Linked DNA regions of Neurospora crassa OR74A. Each later gene encodes a partner of the first gene's protein in a complex. Links are inferred from orthologs where the notes say so. Each region holds a gene or a part of one and is shown on either strand. Other genes may lie near its edges. The genes, in order: NCU07936 and NCU08944.

Region 1 (3,912 bases):
CCACAGTCAGACAAAAAGCGACAAAGTGGCGAACCTTCTTTGGACAACGCAGAAGGGGGAAGCTGCTGCAACGGCTGGCCAAACTGCAGCGCCTCCAGTCGAAAAGCCCAAGCCCAAGAACACCATGGTCCAGCCAACAAGCGCGCCGTCCGCACCAGCGCTCACTCCCCAGTTTTGCTTTTCGACAGCAGCTCTACGAGGTGGGATTCCTTCACCTTATAGACACAAATATTTGAGAGTCTTTTACAATTTACTGACCCAAAACCCACAGACTTCCTACGAGTCTCCCGCTCCGCCATCGACGACACCATAACCCAAAACCTCAACGCCCTCGTCACTCCCTCCCGCGCTGGCTTCGACCCGTCCTCTACTACCCAGCGCAGCCCCCGGCCCTTATCCCGGCAAATCGACCCCGCCGCCTGCCAGGAATTCAAAGACCAAGTGTTGTTCCCCTCGTGGCAAGCGCGGTCGCAGGTGTTGAGCTACTGCGCGCTGGTGGCCACCTCGCCGGACCCGGACGACCCGGAGGCGGCGATCCGGGAGGCCGAGAAGCAGAAGGATCGGGAGAGGGTGGTGAATGAACGGCTGGACCCCTACTCGGCGAGGTTTTTCCCGCGAGAGCCGAGGACGGAACAGCTGGCGAGCGTGATCAGGATGGAGCAGGGCGTGGAGAATATTGTGAGGACGAGGACGTGGGGGATTGTGGGGGAGAGGTGTGGGAGTGATGGGAAGACGTGGGAGCAGGCTTTGGGAGAGTGGAGGAGGGATAAGCATTTGCCGTTGGCGTGAAGATGATTTTTTTTTTTGTGCTGATGGCAGTGGGTGATGTGGTCGCTTATGAAGAGATGAAGGTGAGGGAAGGAAGGGGTGTAAGTGAAAAAGTGTGTGCTAAGCATTGGGTATGGCGTATTAGGATGTGTGACCATATGAATGGTTGTAATTGTAGGGTAATGGGATCTTCTGTCAATATATCTGAAGAAAGAAGCGAAAATATCTACATCAAATTACTAAGCTTTCGTCTATCGCCGCGAGGAATTATGGAAATCTTTCATTGTCTCGGGAGGAGTTATCGCGGGATCTGGCGGGAGGCTTCCGTGTCTTCGGTGTTGTTACCGAGAGGGCCGAGCCGGAGTCTAGCTAAAGATTAACCCCACTTATAGGGAGGTGAGTGGGAGAGCTTCGCCGGCTGTTGGCCAATCGGCAGAGAGCAACTTTTTGATCAATGCGCCCATCTCACCAAATTGTCAGCTGTAGAATTTCACTTTGCAGTTTGGGGAAAGTGCATCGTCAACGTCGACAAGAACTGTGGAATAGTCACGTCTGTCAAGCACATAAGACCGTCACAGGTATTCTTTCTTCTTCTTTCATTTTGGCTGTAGACGGTAAGTATAACCATTCCCCATGTTTAGGTGGTTCAGGTAGGTACTTGTGCGGTGCAAACCCTCTCGCGGTGTCCCGATGTTGTTGGCTGTGAGTGGTAGCAAGAGCTGTCCCACCAGGCTCCGCTCATCCCCGACACCGAAACAACGACATCCACTTCCACCAAAACCAGCCCACTCTCGGCCGGCCCCTCGTCCCCCTCCCCCACGAACTGATCCCTGACCTGACATAGTGGCAGTCTCCGACTCGAGTCGAGAGAGTCTTCATCCTCCTGAGCTTAACAACGACAACAACAACTACAACAACCCACTCCGCGACAACCGTCCTTCCGCCGCAACCCAACCCCGCGGCCGTCTTTGACATCGAAACACAAGCCTTTCCTCATCGTCCCACCCCGCAGTCCATTCCTCGATGCCGCAAACCCTGAGCACGAGAGAGGCCAACCTCTTTCGTACCGTCATCCGCCACTATGAGGACAAGCAGTACAAGCGCGGCTTGAAGGCCGCCGAGCAGATCCTCAAGAAAAACCCCAGGCATGGCGACACCATGTCCATGAAGGCTCTGATCATGAACTCCCAGGGCAAGACGGAGGAGGCCTTTGCCCTCGCCAAGGAGGCTCTCACCGTCGACATGAAGTCCCACATCTGCTGGCACGTCTACGGTATCCTCTACCGCCAGCACAAGAACTTCGACGAGGCCATCAAGGCCTACAAGTTTGCCCTCAAGCTCGAGCCCGAGTCCCAACAGATCCAGCGTGACCTCGCCGTCCTCCAGGTCCAGATCCGCGACTACCAGGGCTACGTCCAGAGCAGGTTCGCCATGCTCAAGGCCAAGCCCCATCTCCGCCAGAACTGGACCGCCCTTGCGATTGCCTATCAGCTCGAAGGCAGCCTCGAACAGGCCGAGAACATCCTCACCACCTACGAAAAGTCCATGACCAACGTTCCCCTCAAGACCGACCAGGAGCACTCCGAGGCTCTCCTTTACAAGAACACCATTATTGCCGAGCGAGGCGATATCAAGCGTGCGCTCGAGCACCTCGAGTCCGACTGCAAGAACTGCCTGGACAGGTTGGCTGTTATGGAAATGCGGGCGCGCTACTTGGGTCAGCTCAACAGGAAAGAGGAGGCGGCAAAGGCGTGGCGGGCACTGCTGGACAGGAACCCCGAGCACCCCGAGTACTACAAGGGTCTGATTGAGGCTTTGGAGATTGACGAGAAGGACGAGGCTGCTCTCAAGGCCATCTATGACGAGTATGCTGCCAAGTACCCTCGCTCGGATGCTGCCAAGAGGTTGCCTCTCAACTTCCTCACCGGCGATAGCTTCAAGGCTGCTGCCAAGAGCTATCTCACCAACATGTTGGACAGGGGTGTGCCTTCGGTGTTTGCCAACCTCAAGCACCTCTACTCTGAGGTTGCCAAGAAGGAGGCCATCCTCGCCCTTGCCGAGGAGTATCTGAAGGAGCATAAGGGGTCTGAGCAAGCGAACGGCGACAGCTCCAAGGGTGTCGGTGCTGCTCTTTACTTCCTGGCGCAACATTACAACTACCACCTCAGCCGCGACCTTGCCAAGGCCATGGAGTATGTCGAGCAGGCCATCGAGCTCGATCCCAAGAACGTTGACTTCCACATGACCAAGGCCAGGATATTCAAGCACCAGGGCGATACCGCCAAGGCCTCGGAAACCATGGACCGTGCCCGTTCGCTCGACACCAAGGATCGTTACATCAACTCCAAGGCCGCCAAGTACCAACTACGGAACAACGAGAACGAGAAGGCTCTCGAGACCATGGGTCTTTTCACGAGGGCTGAAACTGTCGGCGGACCCCTCGCTGACTTGACCGACATGCAGTGCATGTGGTTCTTGACTGAAGATGGTGAGGCCTGGCAACGGCGTGGCAACACCGGCTTGGCTCTCAAGCGTTTCACCACCATCCACAACATTTTCGATATCTGGCAGGAGGACCAATTCGACTTCCACAGCTTCTCCCTCCGTAAGGGTCAGATCCGTGCCTATGTCGACATGATCCGCTGGGAGGACAGCATCCGCGAGCACCCCTTTTACTTCCGTGCTGCTCTTGACGCCGTCAAGCTGTACCTTGACATGTTTGAGAAGCAGCAGGCTTCTGCCAACGGCACCAACGGCACTGGCGAGGCCACCAACGGAGAGGATGCCGCTGAGAAGAAGAAGGCCGCCAAGAAGGCCCGCAAGGAAGCCCAGAAGGCCGAGCGCGAGGCCGCTGAGAAGGCTGCTAAGCAGGATCCCAACAAGGCGACGGCCAAGAAGGACGAGGAACCTAAGAAGAAAGACGACGATCCGAACGGCCTCAAGCTCGCTGCTACGACGGATCCTTTGGGTGATGCCATGAAGTTCCTCACCAACATCTTGCAGTTCAGCCCCAAGAACATTGAGGGCCAAGTTGCTGGTTTCGATGTTTACATCCGCAGGAGTAGGTTTTAGATGCAACCCCTGTACTTGATTTCTCACTAATAAATATACAGAGAAGTATCTTCTTGCGCTGCGCTGCCTAAA
Region 2 (3,568 bases), on another chromosome or scaffold:
CACTGCTTCGCCTCCTCCACGGCCTCCTTGCCATGCAGATCCTCCCGCGCCTTCATCAGCGGCGTGTGCTTGATCCACCCCTCGATGCCCTCCAGAAACTCCTCCGAGTTGGATGCATACATGGGTCCCTCGACCGGGCCTGGGTTGACAGCGTTGACTGTACAGTTCTCAGCCAGCTCGCGGCTCCAGGTACGGGTCATGGCTTCGATGGCCGCCTTGGAGCCGCCGTAGACGGACTGGCCTATGAAGCCAGTGGAGGAGGAGACGGAGGAGATATTGACGATGCGGCCAGAGCGGTCCTTGGGGAGGTAAGGCTGGGCAGTCTGGACGAGCAGCAAGGGGCCTAGGACATTGACACGGTAGGTTTCCGTAAAGTCGTCCACCTTGACGTTGGGAATCAGGTCGTTGCGGGCGATGCCGGCGTTGTTGATGATGATGTCGATCTGGAGGGAGCCATCGGCCTTGGAGAAGGCGGACGTGGCGGCGGTGATGATGGCTTGGGGGCCTTCGGGAGTGCCAATGTCGGCTTGGACGGGCACGGAGGAGATGGAGTAGGTCTTGTTGAGACGGTCGGACAGCTCGGAGGCTAGGGAGGCGGAGGAGGGGGTGGTGTAGTTGAGGATGAGGTTGCAGCCTTTGGAGGCGAGGTTCTCGGCGATGGCGGCGCCGATGCCTGGAGATTCTTAGTGTCTTGAATGTGAATTCAAGAAGCATAAGAGTTACTAACCTCTAGAAGAGCCGGAAACAATGGCAAGCTTGCCCTTGAGTGGTTGGGACATTGTAAGTGGTGTTGTCGTTCTGGTATGAGTGATCTATGGTGGGGTAGCTCGAGGCTGGGTATCAAGAGGGTATCACAGCAATCACACACACAAGAACAGAAGAGACGACAATGAAAGTCAGAGTCAATTGAGCATAGGGGAGCGGAAAGCTCTATATACATTCACCGCCCGTCACGAGAACATTGTCCAACTTCCTCATTATCGGCTAGTATTACTGTCATGAATTCAGAGAAGCTTTCAGACGAAGCTCCCCCGCATCACATTGCATCCACGGCGCGCTTGGCCCGGTGTTGACTGCCCCTAGCTCCCGGGCTTGTCTGCCCCGCGATTTGTGCGGCTATAGCAGCCGTCCCACCATCATCCAACCGTGAAGCTGTGCCGCCAGGGGTCAGGCCAGTCTGGATTCCACACGGGAAGTGCCCCACATTGGAGTGCGGATTGTGGATCCAGAGCCTCCCACCACCGTAGCGCAGCGTCAAGCAGTCTCCAATTCAACATTGACAAGTTGTGAACTGCGACCGCAACACCGAACCACCGATCCCTGACATAGGCGACTCGCTTCTTGTAAGTTCGACCCCCGTTGAAGACTGCTCCGTATCAGCTTGGTACTATCCGTTGCTGGGGATACCTACCCTAATACCCTGCCGTCGAGATAGCTGTTACTAACCAGTCCAGCTGCTTCTCCCAGAGCCCACCACCACCATCCCAAAGTTGAAGCTATCACCAAGTCGTCAACCCTCCCACTCTCTAAGTCACCACCAACACCACCATCCTTCCAGACCGAACCCCCCAATCCCAACAGCCACAATGGATATTCGCGTCCTCCGCCCCTCGGACATCCCTCTGATCCAGCACGCCAACATCGAGAACCTGCCCGAGAACTACTTCCTCAAGTACTACCTGTACCACGCGCTCTCATGGCCTCAGCTGTCGTATGTCGCCGTCGACGTGAGCCGCCCGGCCAAGAGCGCCTACGACTACCCCAAGATCGTCGGCTACGTCCTGGCCAAGATGGAGGAGGAGCCGACGGACGGAGTGCAGCACGGTCACATTACTAGCTTGAGCGTGATGCGCACCCATAGGCGACTCGGCATTGCTGAGAAGCTGATGAGGCAGTCTCGTACGTCGTTTCCCCCCCTTCTCCCCCCTTTCTCTCCTTATCTTCCTTTCTCTCCTTATCTTCCTTTCCTTTCTTTCTTTCTTCCTTTTTTTTCTCTCTCCTCGCTCCGCTCGACCTCTACCCTCCACACAAAAGCACCACCAACTAACCTATCATCTCACTGACGCGGTGTGAAAAAACAGAACAAGCAATGGTCGAGACCTTCGGCGCCCACTACGTCTCTCTGCACGTGCGCGTCTCCAACGCCGCCGCCATCCACCTGTACCGCGACACTTTGGGCTTCAAGACGGAGAAGACGGAAGCCAAGTACTACGCCGACGGCGAGGACGCCTATTGCATGAAGCTCGACCTGGCGCCCATCCGCGAGGCGCTTTTGGCCGAGCAGCTGGACGAGAAGGACGCCAAACCAAAAATCGAGGAAGGAAAGGGATCGGAAGGGGTGGATGAGGGTGAGGCGGTTGGTGATGTCGGTCGTGATCCTGAAGCAGACTCTAAGAAAGAGGATAAGACGGTCAAGGTCAAGGTCGGTAGGGGGTTAGGTGTGGGTGAGTTGGTGGAGAGGGATGAGAGTAAACACTAGAGATATAACTACTGCTGCTGTTACTGTGACGGTGTGCTTGTAAAGAGGGGAAGAAGAAGAAGAAGAAGAGCGTTGATATTAGACTTGGCATTACTGGCTGGGGTTTGGGAAAAGGAAAAAAGAAAGATTCGCTGTTTTTTTATTTACAGAAGGAGACGGGCGTCTAGAACTAAACCCTCCCCGAGCGATCACTTCGAAAATGGTGGGATGAATGCATACCCGGCGTAGCGAATTGGATGCAAAATAGGTGAATAGTCATGTAGTCAATTTGAGAGTAGTTGTTCAAATTGGTTCTGTAAATACCCATTGTACGGATTAGAAGAAAAGAAAAGAAAAGAAAAAAGGCTGGCCTATTGGAGGGAAAGGGGCAAAGTAAACAATGAACAAGTAGAAGGGCACAGCCAGAACAGAATTGGCAACATCACCATCAATTTTACAATGGAGCACTTCCAATGTGTCTACTAGTCCGAGCAGTAACGAATAAGCATAGCTTTTGTCTACTCATTGTGCCTATCGTTGCGAAATTCGCGTAATCACTTCAAGAAACTGGCAAACTTGGCAAACATACTACATTGTAGATTCTGTGTCGCAACAGAGCCCCCAAAGCCAACTGAATCTTCTCTTCACCACCAAATACTTTCCAGTTCGCCCAGCTTCCAAGTGACAAGACACCCCCGTCTCTAATCTAAACCTCAACCAATTCCCCCTCCTCCGTGCCATCCCTCGTCTTCCTCACTTCCGTCAGCTTCTCCCCACCACTCTTCTTCCCCTTCGAATCCTTCGGCGGCACAAACTCTCCATCCTTCAACGTCCACCCCTCCCTCTTCATTCTCGCCCACGTATGCTGGATCTTGAACCTGACCAAATCTCCCGCCGCCCTTGCGTCCTCCGCTGAATCGTGCCCTAGTAGCTTTCCGCCCTGTCCCGTCGTCCCATCGGCGGCGGAATCAGCATCCGGTTCCACCTGGATAGCCTTGTTGAGGTTCCATTCCATCAACATCTTCAGCCCGTGTCGATAGGGAAGGGCCTTCTTGTGCGGAAAGAGAAGAACGGTGTCGATGAGCGTGGGGTGGCAGATGCGCATGGCGT

Evidence for each region.
Region 2: the proteins of NCU07936 (region 1) and NCU08944 are in contact, whole or in part, in a crystal structure (PDB 4HNY), measured with the Saccharomyces cerevisiae proteins. The link is inferred for Neurospora crassa OR74A from reciprocal best matches to the Saccharomyces cerevisiae genes NAT1 and ARD1. Residues at the interface, in NP_010244.1 of Saccharomyces cerevisiae: Tyr199, Glu203, Phe238, Asp239, Lys240, Phe241, Gly242, Glu245, Ile262, Arg265, Thr266, Lys269, Arg270, Asn271, Pro272, Asp273, Asn274, Phe275, Lys276, Leu285, Ile287, Leu293, Ala296, Leu297, Lys300, Leu301, Gln303, Phe304, Tyr305, Pro306; in NP_011877.1 of Saccharomyces cerevisiae: Pro2, Ile3, Asn4, Ile5, Arg6, Arg7, Ile10, Asn11, Ile13, Ile14, Gln17, Ala19, Asn20, Pro25, Asn27, Tyr28, Met30, Lys31, Met34, Tyr35, Ile37, Leu38, Ser39, Trp40, Pro41, Glu42, Phe45, Leu52, Asp53, Glu55.

The regions. Positions count from the first base shown.
Region 1 is NC_026504.1:1,297,456-1,301,367, reverse strand, and holds the start of NCU07936 (NMDA receptor-regulated protein 1), read left to right. Parts: upstream 1-1,255; 5' UTR 1,256-1,791; coding exon 1,792-3,829; intron 3,830-3,881; coding exon 3,882-3,912. Other genes in the region: NCU07935 (caffeine-induced death protein Cid2), read left to right, coding at 125-200, 272-789. UniProt on the Saccharomyces cerevisiae protein: Non-catalytic component of the NatA N-terminal acetyltransferase, which catalyzes acetylation of proteins beginning with Met-Ser, Met-Gly and Met-Ala.
Region 2 is NC_026505.1:5,781,253-5,784,820, forward strand, and holds NCU08944 (N-acetyltransferase complex ARD1 subunit), read left to right. Parts: upstream 1-1,251; 5' UTR 1,252-1,343; intron 1,344-1,454; exon of another isoform or gene 1,455-1,467; 5' UTR 1,468-1,586; coding exon 1,587-1,899; intron 1,900-2,081; coding exon 2,082-2,479; 3' UTR 2,480-2,870; downstream 2,871-3,568. Other genes in the region: NCU08943 (3-oxoacyl-(acyl-carrier-protein) reductase), read right to left, coding at 1-673, 728-779; NCU08945 (RNA exonuclease 3), read right to left, coding at 3,165-3,568. UniProt on the Saccharomyces cerevisiae protein: Catalytic component of the NatA N-terminal acetyltransferase, which catalyzes acetylation of proteins beginning with Met-Ser, Met-Gly and Met-Ala.